2 linked regions of the Drosophila melanogaster genome follow. The protein of the gene in region 2 interacts with the protein of the main gene of each other region in a pairwise test. Each region holds a gene or a part of one and is shown on either strand. Other genes may lie near its edges.

Region 1 (7,906 bases), on a different chromosome or scaffold from region 2:
ATTGCAGGCATTGAACGGCTATCTGGTCGGAAATTACTGCACCCTCCGAAGCCATTTACTCATGGGCTACTACGTCTGATAAGGCGGTTGCAAGATAATCAAAATATTCCCTGTGCCAAGTAAACAGGGCCATAAACTACATAGGAACTGCTCCAAAAACGTGATAGAAATGGAGAAACTAGGGAATACGAAGGGAAAAGGTACCCTGTGTGCTACTAGACTGGTTTATATAACAACATTGGGGTCATTGATCGAGCTATTTGACCAGATTATCCACTATATATACTTTATACTTTCCATATATGTATATGTATATAAGTAAGATACAAGTAAGTTACTCTCTGAGGCTACGTAACTATGTGGGAAACCTGCTTCAATGATATAAAAGATTAAAAGGATCATTTCAATCTTATCTTGATTACAATTTCTTATTCATTCATCCCTTGAATACAAAGATCTTTTGATTAACAAGCTAATCTACTATGAATCATTCTAATTAGTGCTTAACTATTTATTTTCTGAGTAGTGGTATCTATTCTTATTTCCAATTTGGAACTGCCCAACGGGAACACAAATAAAGATGTCAGTCAACTCAAATTCCTCCTATCTAATCTGGCCCTTAAAAGAGGTTTACTCCAACCAACTCACATGATGTAGAAGTAGTTGTCACTGTCCTTGCGCTTCGCATCGCACGGATTGGCGCTCTTGCTAGAGACCGAGCTGGTGGCTCCTGGCTCGGGATCCGTGTGCTGGGAGCTGGTGCTCCAGCTGCGACCCCAGCGGCCGGCGACTGAGGAGCCGGGCACATTGGCCTGCCTGTTGCTGGACAGGCTGCCATCCTTGGTGGAGCCGGCGAAGAACGACTTGACGCTATCCATGGTGCGACCCTCGCTACAAATCTGGTTCCGATTGGCCGTCTGAGTGTATGTGCGTCGAGCCTCCGCAAAAACGGCCGAAATTGATAAAGCTAAAAATATATATGCGAAGACACCATAATTTATTTATTTTGTCTGAAATCTTGTTTTTTTCGGTGGGCTCGTGCCCCTCTAGCTGTTTCCAAGTGCGGGGATCTTCTCCTCCGGCCGTCGTACGATCCAAATTGAATTTATTTAAGGTGCGGTTGGAAAACAAGTCGGGCTATTGATAAGCTCTTGGTATACATCTATTATTATCGTATCTGCTCCAGGTGGAGTGGCCATCTTGGAGCTTCATACTTGTTTTTTTTTTTCACCGATGGAGGCTCTTTGTGCTTCATCCGGAGGGGAGTATGTGTGAAGAGTAGGCTGATCAAACAGGCTTTGGGAAAACGGCAACTAAGTGGCAAATGCGACGCAGTTTCAACTCGAATCTAAATATGTAAGTATACACATACGTATGTACATATGTAGGTGTTGCCGCATACATATTATCAATTAGCAGTTCAGAACAGTTCACTGGCTAAGCAGATCGCTGATAACGTGGTCGAGAATCGGCGCAAACACGCGCCGCCCTCGGGAGCCATGGGAAATAGTTAAGTTGTTTGGGACTCCGCCGGGCCTTCTGGGCTCCGATCAATGGGTTAGTCGGACGTGGCCAGATAAGCGGGCTGCGGACCTTGAAGAGCACCAAATGCAAAGTGAACCGAGACTAATAACCGGGCGAGGTCAACCCATTGTAGCCAACCATCCAACTGACCTACCTTAAATGCTTAGTTCACTCGACTTCGAAAGGGACGTGACTCCTGGGGCTTCACTCCAACTCCAGTTGCTGCGCTTGCTCTGTTTTTTTTTAGTGCACTCAAACGAAAAAAACTCGATCACCTGCAGTCGCGAGGAGAGAACTGTGAACCGTTTTGCACAATGTCTGCGATCGCACTGAAAACGAAACAAGGCACGGCGTCGGCATCGAGTGTTTTTAGTTTTAATCAATTTTAAATGCGAAGGCGTCGTGTTTTGCCGCTGTGTGAGTGGCTACCACGCAGCACACACACATGGGAAAGCCGCTCGTGCACTGGAAGAAATGGCACGGATCTGAAATGGATTTAGGTACAAGTTTCCTATTCATTCAGTTAATATATCCAGAAAACATAAATACTAAATGCTACTGCTTAACTTTGGGTACATTAAATTCAATTCCTTGTAATGAAATAACTAGGTACATACGCATTGTTTGGAATGTGCTTGTTTCTCCAAGTGTACGTCATATGTGCGGTGTAGCAATGAGTAGTATTTCCAAGAGTTTCTTGGGGTGCTGCCATAGTCTGGAAAGCGTCTGGTTTCTACATCTGTGGTACACTGGTACCAAACATTTGTTTGTTTTGATCGCCGTTTCTTTTAGTTGCTTTCATACATATGTTTTGGACTGTTTTGGCTAAATCTGTGCGGTGGATACACTTACCTTCTACCTGGTGTTCATCGCAGATCAGCCTTGTCCTCGCCGCACTTCCGCCCTCGCTCTTTGTCACTCTTCTCGGTCTTGCCTAGTCTTCCTTTCCACTTTTGCCTTTTTATTGTGCTCCGATGCATGTTGATTGTCGTGGACTTTGCACCCTCAGTTTTCCGCTGTTGTAATGCTCGTTTTACGCATTTACAGGAATATAGTCGACTAGGAAAGCACTCTTTACCCGTTTAATCTGGATTTGTCAGCCGATAATTCAGTGGAATTAATTCTGTTGAATTCATAAATAAATAGATAAATTGTATGATTCATTAACCTATTTATTAATTGGTTGATAGCTTTGGGATAGTGATTAAACTCAAGCAATTCACCGATGCAATCTATTGTCTTGAAATGATAAGAATTGAAAGAATGTTGCTATGAATTTAAAAATCTTTAATGAGTGGCTGCCACTTTAATCTAATTCCACGTAATCTTAACTTTCTGAAGGTGCTGGAAACCCATGACACTTTAATTTTCAGAACATTCAACCTAACTATAAATTCAAATCGAGTGGCAGCTCCGATAACGGTCACAGCTGCTAAGACCAGGGCGGCACACTGTGTGCTGTCGCCCGATAACTTCTTTGTTTTGAACTCACGGGAAAGCAACCCTGCGTGTGCTCTCGCCAATTGGAACTGCGAATATACTGCCTGTGTATATATGTAAATGTTTATAATTAGCAATTTTTCTACGAAACAAACGATTAAATAATGCAGTTTTCTGCCTACTAAATGCCAAATACAACACACAGACTTCGAGCCACGAACGGTGATGTGATCAGAGTACTAGAGTAATCCAACGAAAAACGCGAGTCCATTTTAAAGCGAAGTATAAAGTGCCAAACAAAGGGAGCAGTCGAACCCAGTCCAAATCCAATCATTATACTCGGTCCGTGACCTGCCGACGAGCCAGCGAGTACGGCAATAAGCATGGGCAACGCCAGCTCCTCCGTGCACATGCAACGCGAGCGCCACAAGTCGACCGACTTGTCCACGCCGAGCTCTCCCGCACATTTCCGCGATTCGATTGGTGGAGGAGGAGCGGGACAGGGCGGGAGTGCTGGCGCAGCAGCTCTGGGCGCTGCAGCGGGGGCGGTGGGAGCTGCGGGGGGTGGAGGAGGAGGCGGCGGAGGCCAAGCTTTCTCGTTCGACAAAAAACATACGGCAGTCTTGAACGAGGGCTCGTCGCAAGAAGACGACGACCCGTACTACACGGGAACTGGAACTGGATCCACTAGACGAGGCACCGCACACGACGACGCGACATCAGCTGTTACCCGAGACCACTCCAGCATGGACAACAACGAGGAGGAGGAGGAGGCAGCGGTAGGAGCGGAGCCAGCGACTGGATCTCAGTTAACCGGCGATGAGGACGACATCCGGAAGACGGCACTGCCCACAGTTCTGCGGTGGGACGGCGGCGGCAAGAACGTCACCATCTCGGGCACATTCTCCGATTGGAAGCCCATGGCCATGGTGCGCAGCCATCAGAACTTCGTGACCATCATAGATCTGCCGGAGGGCGACCATCAGTACAAGTTCTGCGTGGACGGCGAGTGGAAGCACGATCCCAAGCTGGTCAGTTGGGCGGAAAATCAATATATGCAGCAGGCTATTCAGTGTTTTTGATTCGGGCGCCCGAATGACGCAGTTACCGATTTTCGCCCCGGGTTGTGTAATCGCCGTAAACAAAACGAAGTCTCCCAGTAATCGTAGTGGATTTCAATTGGGTTCAGAGATGCTCATCCGGCTTTAGCTTTTTTTTTGTTTTTTTTTTGAGGAACCCCGTTCAAATGCTTCGCAAATAACAAATGCAATTAAAGTTACAAGTTTAAGGGAGCAAACTGCGATAAAACCCATTTGTAGATTACTACTAAATCCGGTTGGATGTCGCTAGTTTTGTGGACACAGTTTATCTAAGTGACCATTGAACATTGCTATCAGGCGAACAATTTGAACTATAGAAAAGATTTAAGGGAATAGTAACGTTTTCTTAGATAAAATATTTTTCTGGATAACAAAGTTCAGGACTGTGATAGAATATATGACCTACTTCGCAATGTTAAAATAGTTGCAGAATTGCATGAAGACGAAAAGCAATCAGAAATGAATTACTAAATGCACAGACTTTAAATCTTTATTAAGAATAGTTCACGAAGCTCACGTATTTAAACCATAATGGTTTTAATGACTAATAAATAATGTAGTTTATCTGACATTTAAATTAGTAAGCAAAACGAAAGCAAACCATTGAACAAATTTTTGTATTATATATATATGTAGCAAGCCAAATTGTTGTATATAATTCAAAATTGCTCGAAACAAGTAGCAACAGTACGTTATTAATTATAGAAAGCAGTCATTGCCCAGCCACATTTTCATGAAGTATTGCCCAATTTTTGTTTTATCGCAAACTCAGCTATCAAGTTTCATGAGTTTTATTGAACTCAACCCGAGGCCTGCAGATATTGTCCCAATTGCCCAAACTATTGTTACAGACAATTTGATTATAGCTTATCGGTTTGCTATTTTAGAAAAGCGTGGAGAACGCCGAGGGACAGAGAAATAACTTAGTGTCCGTGCGAGAATCCGATTTCGAGGTGTTCCAGGCCCTAGCCAAAGACAGCGAGAACGTGACCAACTATGCGGAGAAGGAGTACTCGCAGGAGGTGCCGCAGGTGAAGCCCTGGGAGAAGGTATCTGGCCCGCCCGTTCTGCCGCCCCATCTGCTCCAGGTCATCCTCAACAAGGATACACCGCTATCGGTGGGTATTGTCGCTGTCTCGAGAGCTACCGACCGTAACCTTACCCTATTCTGTTTCAGTGTGAACCCACTCTGCTGCCGGAACCCAACCACGTGATGCTTAACCACTTGTACGCCCTGTCTATCAAGGATGGCGTCATGGTCCTGAGTGCCACGCACAGGTATCGCAAGAAGTACGTCACCACGCTGCTGTACAAGCCCATTTAGGCAACTCGCAATTGGTATTTTAGCTGTAGGAACATGGTTTTTATGAGGGATACCACGTCCCGCTTGTCAAATTTACCTTATTATGAGTAAAAGTGTTTTAGTTTTCTCTCTATTAAGCGTTGTATTTTTATTAGTTATAAATATACGGAACTTGTAAAAATATAAGATTATTGCATTGTGTCATAATTTGTAATTTGTATTTGAATTTACTACGAATCGTACAGCTTATTTGCAATTTCAACCTGATATGTCACTAAAGTCACGATCTAAGAGTAATTTAAGCAACTATGCATATTGACTGACTGATAATTTGGTTCCCTGTTCGCTGTATATAAGTATAACAACACTTTGGATTTTGATCAACGTTTCATATCACATGTGTACAAGAGTCTTCGCCGACGGCAATCTATCGGAATACAAACATTCTCGTATATCTACGTGTTCAACTGGACAAAAACTGAACTAGACTAGCGGACCGACCGACCGACCGACCGACCGACCAGCTTCACATCAGCTTGACCTTGTGGTCCAACTGATCGGCGTCGATCTTCTTGGCGAACAGCACCGGTGACGAGGAGGCCAGCGCCACCGTCTGCTTGGCCAAGAATCGCTCGTGCATCTTGTTGGCCGTGTGCTGGAACTCGCCATCCTCGTCGAACAGCGCCTTGGTGAAGTACTCCGTGAAGAGGCGGCCCATGTACTGGTCTTTGGTGGACGGCCACCAGCCCTCGAGGAAGCCGATGTGCCCGCCACGAGCCGTAATCACGATGGCCACATGGGTGCACTGGTTGGCCGCCTTGATGGGAATGGCATCCAGTGGCTGGAACGGATCATCGGCGGCGCTCAGGCAAAGCAGCGGCACCGAAATGTGATCGAGTTTGTTGTGCAACGTGGCATCCGAGTAATAGTCATTCACATGGGCATATCCGAACTGCTTAGCCGTAAAAAGCGCGTCGAACTCTTTGATCGTCTTGCAGCGCAGAATGCGCTGAATATCAATGTCAGAGTCCTGGTAAATATCCCTGTAGATGTCCAGGTGATTGCGCAAGGTTCGGCATAGGCTTCCAGCCAAGTGGCGTCCCAGCAGGCTGTTGATCACTGGCTTCTCGATGCTAGCGCTGCCCTTGTGGACGTCCCAAGGGACAGATATTATCTTTGCAGCCGAAAGGAAGCTCCTGGCCTCGTCGCTCTTGCGGGCTAAATAATTGCCCAGAATCAAGCCGCCCATTGAGATCCCAGTGGCTCCCAGCTTGCATTTTTCGGGCAAAGTGCGTCGCACATGCTGGACGACCTCGCACAGATCCTCGCAGTTGGCGGCGCAGTAGAGACGCGGTGTCTTCAGCTCTATGCCGCCGAGTCCGCGGTTATTAAACACCACCACTCGCATGCCAGCCTGCTGGGCGGCGAAGACGAGACACTTAATGTACTCCGCCTGCGACTCACCGGTCAGACCCGGTAGGATGAGTATGCATGGAGCACTCTGGTCGCAGCCCTCCTCCATCCAGTCCAGGGCCACCTCCCCGCCATCTTTCAGCGAGAGTATCTCACGGCGGTAGTTGACGCGCGGCAGACTCTTGGAGCGCAGCAGGCTCGCAAGGACGGTCTGGGCACGACTCTCCACACACCAAAAGGTGGGCCAGTACTTGTTCTCCAGCGTCGGCACCTTCCGGATCAGATACTGCTTGAACGGCCCGTCCGAACATGCGATTATCGGTCGCTGCAATTAGACGGTAAATGCGGTGATTAGTCACGCACCGGACGTGATGCAATGGCTGATGTTACACTCACCTTGACCACCTGGATAAGGTAATAGACGACGTAGGCCACCACAGCCATGCCCAAAACATGGAGGCGCGGCAGGTTGGACAGGTAGGCGTACATCGAGTAGAACATGGCGTCGTTCTCTGAGTGAAGGCTCCGCACAGACAATTTCGAACTTAATGCTGGACGGGAAAGCGAGCTGAAAAAACGAACAAGCCACAAATGAAATGATTACAGCGCAGCGCGACTTGTTAGCGGCATGAATGGGCTATTTCGGGCTAATAAGTACAAGGAGGCATATCTAATCGCCGCGCGCTAATGTATGCATATGGATTCTGATTGAACGAGTGGTCGTCCGTATCAAAGGCAGACAAAATACGCCGCGAAAGGGTGCAGGCGGGGCGGGTTCAGGTACACTTGGCTCGTTCACGGCGCTTATCGCTCACTCACAGCAGGTCTGGACGGTGGGCTGGGTTCTGGAGCTGTGACTGCGACTGCGATTGCGACCGGGACTGCCGCTGATAGACGCCTCTTCCGGCGGACAGGCAGCGAATGTCGTGCACTGGGCCAAGTAGCTCGGCCACGGAGCGATACAGGACCAACTTGTGGCCGGTGGTTGGACCACGGACAAGGGCGCACAGCATGGCGGCTCTAAACTAAAGACTATTACTAGCTTGGTGTGCTTAAACCAATGGTTTGTGTCCGGGGGCTCTGTCAATTGTGCTGGGTTCCACAATTTATGTGTGCTTACCTTAAA
Region 2 (7,871 bases):
GTTCTCGAGATCACCACGTTCATACAGACAGGAATTCGTAGCTACATGGCCAGCTTGACTCGGGCAGTTATCCTTATAGATTCGGAATCGCTTCACTCTACCTTTTTATTACTTTTCGACGAATCCAATATACCCCTTCAATCTCTACAAGTAACTTACTTGGCGATTATTATTATTATGTAAATCAATACAAAAGGATGGAAGAGAGCAGTAATTTGGTGGCTTGTGTGATGTTTCAATAGTTGGCAGACGTGACTGACAATATCAGGATTACTAGCCGAATAAAGCATTGGGGGTCTCTTTAAATAAAGTGTTTGGACGTATATGAATCAGAAACATTACAAGGAACAGGATTAGGCACAATCCAGAGCAGACTAAAGCTCACCATGGTTGTTGAATACTTAGACACAGTGTCCTCATTGTATTTCACTATTTTCACCCCCTCGATTTTTCTTTTATTTTCTGCTCTGGGCCTGTGTAATCCCTTGGGCGCATTTGAAAAAAAAAATATCAGCCTTGCGCCTTGTTGGTTTTCAATCAGATTTTGTTTTTTAATGTTTTGCTGGCAACAAAAGCTAATGATTAATAACAAGCTGGCAGCAATAATCCTCGATTCCCCTGGAAATATGTTGCAATTATCGTGCATCGCAAGCAATAAAGTTCATTGTAACACCTAACCCTATTCTTAAGTTAACCTCTAAAAATCTATATAATATATTGAACGCTGTTCATATATCCCTCTTAATAAAAACTTCTTTACTAAGATATATACACAACGCATATTGTTATATCTTTTGATATTGGGTAACTGTGTTTTTTCTGTTTTGTAGCACTTACCCAGCCCAGTAAAATAGTTCATGGAAAAGTTAAAGCAAATCTATTTCTTTTTAATTGGGATAGTCGAGGTTCTTAAAAATAGAGTTCCCCCTATGCTTCAATTTTTAGTTTAAAAGTTTAAATTACTACAGTTAACTTTTGCTTTTATGATATAAAAAATGAACACATAAAATTTCATAGCCATGGGGCGTTGTAAAAAAAGTTTGTAAAGGTAATGCTGGGAATTGAAAAGCAATAGTCAACAAAGAGTACATAGGTACAAAACCATCGGTCCATACCATATAAAAATTCAAAAGCTCTGCATGCTGTGCAATACGAAATAAAATATGTAGATCGCGGACTCATGGGCGTGACAAGTACAACTTGACAGAGGCTGAAGCAGTCAAAGAGCCGGTGACATGTCGTCACTGTCATCACAACTTTAACAGGAAGCCACGCCCACTCAACAGGTGCCCAGCTGAATTTACTAAAAGCGTCAAAAACAAGAGCATAGACAGTAACATCTCAAGTCAATTCTCCTGTCAACAGTCTCAGACAATTTACTCTAAAAAGAACATGAGCGCTATAGTCCATTTTCTCGGTTTATAGTTTTCGAGTTCTTTTCATACGGACGGAGGGACATTCGAACATGACTAGATCAATACTGAGCTAGAATATAGATGTAATGGGTCAGAAACGCTTTTTTGTTTATTATTTTGTCTGATTTTATAAGTTTTCACGTGAAAGAAATTATAGGAAGATAATCACTTGGGAAACATTTATTATTAGTTTTAATGTTTTCTTCTTTCCAGTGAGAGCAGTTTTTTTCGGATCATGTCTTTAGCGGGTGTATAAGAAAAGGCCTGGCACACATGTTATAAATATGCAAATAATTATTTAGGAGCGTGGAATGCTGGCGACAGCGATTATATGAACGAGCAGATTAAGTCCCTTTAGGCACTTTGCCGTCGTCGTCCCGTGGTCTAGCCCAATCTATTCGCCATTGGTCATCTGGCCAGCGGGTAGGAGGGAGATTCACAGAATTGGGGGAGTGTAGGCTTCCCAGGTAAAAGTGGTTACAGTATGTTTTGTCAGAGATTTTTCCCGTTGATATTCCCGCTTTTTATTTACACGTAGAGTAAAATTGTATTCTAGATTCGTTGTAGCATTTTAGACCCTATGACGTTTATATATACATACATACATATACATACCTTCCTCAGGATCACTAGCCCAGATCTGAGCATGTCCCTTTGTCCGTATGAAAGCAGTTTTTTAATTTAATTTAGTTTTTTGTATTGTCAATTTCTATCCAATTCAATTTCTAGCCAAACAAATTTTGCACCGCCCTAATTTGCCCATACTTATAAAACATAATTCTGAATTTTATTTATTGATTTATGTTATCATAATGGGTATTGGATAGTCGAGTTTCTTGTATATAACGTTCTCCCTTCCTTCTATTTGTTTTTTTTACTTGGCTTTTGACCCAATGCCTTGGACCTTGTTCTTATTTTTTGTTTGCCCTAGACTCGTTGGCGTCGACTTTTAGGTTGTTGCACTTTGGTACCACAGTTATCAAAATTTCGATTGCTCTATTTTATTGCTGTATTTTATTTTGACCGATACAACTGCAGGATAGCCCATGTGTAAACAATCAGCAAACCATTTGTTATATTCCTGCAGTGAATGAAGATTAATTTCAGTCATAAAAAAAGAAAGGGAAGGCTACCGGAGAGGTGCTAAATAACTCCGCTCTCTGAGATAAATTATGCGCAATTTCTCCTCTGCAAACTTATTCAGCACCTTAAAGCTTAAGTACTCCAAACTAAGCTTTCGCGGCTTAAAGCTAAAAATCTTTATTTTATGATAAAAAGCTCAATTTTATGAGCATGTACTTTTTTACGTTTTTAACATGCCGTTTTTTTTTTTAAGAAGGACTTGGACATCTGTATAAGGCAACATATCCATGTGAATTTACAAGGAGAAAACGATTCAGTCGATCTTGTCGGCTTACAGATACGTGTTACTACTCCGCTAGAGGAAGTGCGTTGGAGTTGGATATATGTAGATAACATATCGATAGATTTACAAAATTAAATTTTCAAATGTGTCGGCGTGGCAGTTTTGGGGGGTTTGGGGGCCTTAGAGTGGGCGTGGTAATATTTCAACAAACTTGCGCTGGTTCTGTCTCTAGAATATGTATGCTTAATATAAACCTTCCAGCTTTTATAATTCCTGAGATGTCGACGTTATACGGCCGGACAGACGGACAGTGCCAGATCGACTGGGCTATTGATACTGATCAAGAATATATAAACTTTATATGGTCGGAAACGCTTCTTTCTACTTGTTACATACATTTTCAACGAATCTAGTATACTCTTTTAGTCTGCAAGTAACGGGTATAAGAAGTATAATTTGAACTGTATAAAGGTTAAACTGTATGTAGGTTAAAGTACTTATGCGGTAAATGAATCTTATTTCTAGTACTTATCTAATCATCCCACATTAAAGCAACTGATTAAATAATACCATTGAAGATTGCACACATTTGTATATAGAGAGTGGGAGAGAGCGATATCTTCCTCCATATGGGTATCCTAAACCTGCCGACTCACGTTTGCCGGCATGACAGGTTGGGTTACCCCATTAGCTGAGAATTTCTTTTTGATGAAGCAATAATCGAAGGAGTGTTTTCTTTTGGATTCGTATTCGTTTGATACCGCTGTGAGCCATAAAATGTAACCCATTAGGTTAGTATGGTTGCGATTATAATGGTGGTGTCATCATCATTTAGCCAAAAACCTGAGATTTATTCCACTGGTCCATTCATAAAAGGCCATCATTTGAAGCTTAGATAATGTTTAATTAATAAATACGCGTTTTTCGTATTTCAATGGTACTTTTATCGTATCAGATATTTTTTTTAATATTTCCATATTTTTCTTCTTCCAGCAGATAAAGGAAAGTAGTAGATTTAGTTGTCCCTTAAGTTGTGATACAACGATAATTGAATAAAATAAGAACTGGCAATTATATATGCATTAAGCTGTTTACGAGCACCAAACGTAGCCTACTCTGGGTTGGTTTATTAAATAGAATGGCTTTCTTACTTTTTTTTAGATCACGTTGCTTTGCTGAAACTGTCAGTATTTGGACTTGGCTATCACCAGCCATATGGCAAAACATCAGAAGTAAAATTGTCTGTGAACACACAAAGCACACGAAAAAATCTCGGAAAAAAAACTGTACAAAATTTAACTTCGCTCTCGACCAGATTTACAAAATTTTTTTTTTGGCCAAACTTAAAATTAGGAATACAAGAGAACGGTGTGTGTACCAAAATCAAATCGTGTTTAGCTAGTTGGTGAGTCTTATTGGAAGCTCGGCATATTCCGAATATTACTGAAATTTTTTCCCCATTTCCGAATTGCATTTGGTTTCACATGACATACGCACACAATTGGAAGTCGTAATTCTATATGTGTGGGACAGTGTTTACTGAGTATTTGGTTGGGGTTAACTTAAGAATTAATATTTTTTTTTTTTAAATGCGTATTTCAGACGTCAGGATATATGCTACTTTGATTCGTTAACTATTTTCAAGTGATCGGAAGCAAACGCAGAGGCATTTCTAATTTGTGCGTTGCGCGACTTTCAGAGATCGTAGACTCGATTAACCATGGGTAAAAAGGGCAAAGGAAAGAAGGGCAAGAAGCCCGCCGCAGTTGTGGCTCCCATCGAAGCGCCACCATGTCCTCCGTGTCCGGAACCACCAAAGCAGATGCAACCACTTGACGCTTGTCCAGAGTCTAGCGGACCCCACGATGTCCTTCGGGCTCAACCGAATCATTACCCGGCTCTTCTTCGTATTCCGGAAACAATGGCGGTGGTGGGCTCTGAGAATGGATGCTACGATAGCATTTGCAAGCTCCTGAGAGCCGGATTCCGGTGTGCCGAGCGGGTTTTCGTGATGGCCCCTTGGGGCAACTACGTGGTTTTCCGGTATCACAACAATAATGACTTTATTTACTTCCTGTTTGATGGATGCACCTGCGATGTTAATAGGTTCCGCTATCTAGACCTCAGCTGCGGAACTGCTGGATTTCTTTTCTTCGATAATATGCACGACGTTATTAGTTATATTATCCAGTCTCGAAAGACGCGTCTATATCTGGAGAATCTAAACAAGATTGCCATTGATCAGATTGTGGAGGAGTATGGCGCTGTAACGTACACCCAAAAGGCAAAATGCATGCGATTCGCTTAAATAGGTCCCATATGATTTCTAACAAAAGAGGGCAACGCATACACAACGAGGATAATACTGGACGACAAGCTTTGCTCTAAACATTTAACATATTTTGGCACAATCTTTATCAATAAATAATAATCTCTTTGAAAGCAACTAAAACAAATTTGCATAGCTCTAATACCAATAGCGGTGATAGCGATATACCAAAGCGTTTATTTTGCATGTCGAAGTTAATCCTTTTGTAGAGTTTTGCTGGGAAAGTTGAGGTTAGCGTACGATCAAAAGAAGTTAAATAACAATAGTCGACATAAATTATTGCAATATTACTGTGGATAAAATACAAATCGTAAATATAATATCAAAAATTAGAGACTTACAGGGTGTGAGAATTTTGTCAATTAGAGTACAGATTCCAAGTCGATTAGCGTTCGATTAATTCCATTCATTTGAGTGGTATGGAAATTATGCATGTGCATCATTTTGCTAATATTCGGCTCAAAAGAATGAAGCGGAGGATTCCAGCTTAACGTGCACAACAAATCCCTCAAATTATTATTGCTTGCTACAAAATGAAAAAAGAAGAAACCCAATAGAAACAAGGTGAACCTTCCAAGTAAGGGGTCAATTTTTGGAGGCCCATGGATTGCGAAAACCGCAAAGCATTTGCAATAAAGTGCCAAACAAGCGCCGGCCACACGATATTTGAATATTTATAAAAGTAGTCGACTTGTTGATAGATTATGAGATGTTAAACTGAAAAATTTTATTTTTCAAACAGATTTTCAGTATTTGAAAATGTTTATATTATAACACAATTAAATTGTTTTTAACATCTTAATTAATTCTGAAATAATGTTTAAAGTTCTTACATTTTTATTAACATCTTAATTAATTATATATATATATAATATAATAGGTTATTAGACAGACCGTTACTTCTTATAATTTATATATTGTTATTTTTTAGTGGATGCGATTTGTGAGCAATATATATTTACTTGACATTTGTCCGGGCTACGAGAGAAGGCTCGGCTGGTTAGGCCACTGTTTCGCCGGTGTGTCAAGTGTCCGGTTTCCCTAACCATAACTCGTGTACCCCTCCTTAACTCCCGTGAGTACCTTTTAACTATCCAAACTCCTTGACTAGCCATGTCCCATTTAACATTTTACAACGAGTAGCGTATTTGTATGGCTGCGCGGCATTTTAAGACCCAATCGATCGGAGGATCGAGATTGAGGCACGCAAATAGAGTTAAATATATAATATTTTAACTCCAAAAGTTTATAGTGCACACTAAACCATTTATTAACCCCAAAAAAAAAAATGTATATTCTCGACGAACATCCATAAAGATTTGTGCTAGTACTTTTTTTTGTCCAGTGTAAATCGAGGGAAACATGGGTCGCAGATCGACAGACAAAGACGAAGGTATCTATTTTCCGAAAAATATATATACTTGCCCTTTCACGTTGTCGGCAAATGTCAGCCTACCATTTATATAAATGCACACCTCACCCTCAACTATTTGCAGACTCAAAAACTTTGTCATCTCCCCTTTTGAAGCTCAAGTAAATTCCCCAAATGTACTTGCACCGATGACCCCGCTCGAAACTTTTTACTTCTCGAATAATAATATTTACTAACACAAAAAATGGTTTCGTCTTTTAAATGATTAGTTTTTTTTATTTCATTTTAGGTTTTATGAATACATTCCTTTATACCAATACCATTATCTTTTTTCTTTATAAGTGGCCTGGACTTAGATCATCTCCAAAACTTTTTGCGCTTTGCTAAAAAACAGCAAATTCGCTTCTATTGTTTCGGTCTTGGGTTTTCGTTGATTGAATTTTTGGTTATTGCGGTTACCTTTTACCAGCTTTATACGCTGCATGCAACATTAGTCAATGACACTCGATGCTGGATGTTGATGTTGTTGTTGCTTAGTTGCCAGTTTGCAACATCATCTTGCGTCAGTCGCTGACATGATTATATATATTTGGCATGAACCTCCCCTTCCTTACTATGTGAATATTTGTGTAATGTTTAGATAAGTTTTTATTTATTTTGGATTTCTTTAAAACAAACCAAATAATCGTTCTAGATTTTAAATCAATTAATATTCATTATTCGATGTATGCAAAAACAATGGTTTTCACCCTCTCTTAAGTAAAAACAATGTTATGCAAACATTTGTTGGCCAATTTTTTGCTGTGTCAACAACAATCATTAATTAGATGCAACGAAATTACCAATCAACTGCTGCAACGTAATAAAAATTCATATGCGTTGCATATTAGCTAAATGAAATCAAATGACAGGAAGCAAGCAACATCAGCAACAACAGCAACCGCCTTAACACCGAATATACAACATATTATCGAAGAAATTCAATAACTGCTCATTGTGAAAAATGCTAACCAGCCACACCACAGGGGGGAGGGGTGCACTTTACGCGCTTTTGATCAACGGGAAACTCGTTTGATTCAGTGCAATCGAATTACATTGGCATGAGATGCAGTTGCAACTCTCGCTAACGCTTTCCTTTTCGTGTTGCGCATTTCACTTGTTTCTTCTCTTCTCACTTGCACTAAGCAGATCTTGGCATAATAAATAAATTAATCGACAAATGACGAATGATATATGAGGATAGATTGGAAGTAAAGAAAGACAGAGCCAAAACAGAATGATCTGACGAACTGTAAACACCAAATATATATTGATTGCTGGTTTTGTAAACTAATAAATAATGTAGATTTCAAAAGTTTTTACCAGTGCAGTGTCCAGGGTGACACATGT

What was found.
Region 1: the proteins of CG12470 (region 2) and alc interact in a two-hybrid assay, tested with the Drosophila melanogaster proteins (2 studies listed by BioGRID).

The regions. Positions count from the first base shown.
Region 1 is NT_033778.4:9,133,041-9,140,946, reverse strand, and holds alc (alicorn), read left to right. Parts: upstream 1-3,013; 5' UTR 3,014-3,347; coding exon 3,348-3,995; intron 3,996-4,951; coding exon 4,952-5,182; intron 5,183-5,241; coding exon 5,242-5,388; 3' UTR 5,389-5,572; downstream 5,573-7,906. Other genes in the region: CG8788 (uncharacterized protein), read right to left, coding at 649-878; Hydr1 (alpha/beta hydrolase 1), read right to left, coding at 5,894-7,105, 7,177-7,348, 7,600-7,793.
Region 2 is NC_004354.4:303,707-311,577, forward strand, and holds CG12470 (uncharacterized protein), read left to right. Parts: upstream 1-3,977; 5' UTR 3,978-4,186; intron 4,187-4,383; 5' UTR 4,384-4,501; coding exon 4,502-5,089; 3' UTR 5,090-5,229; downstream 5,230-7,871.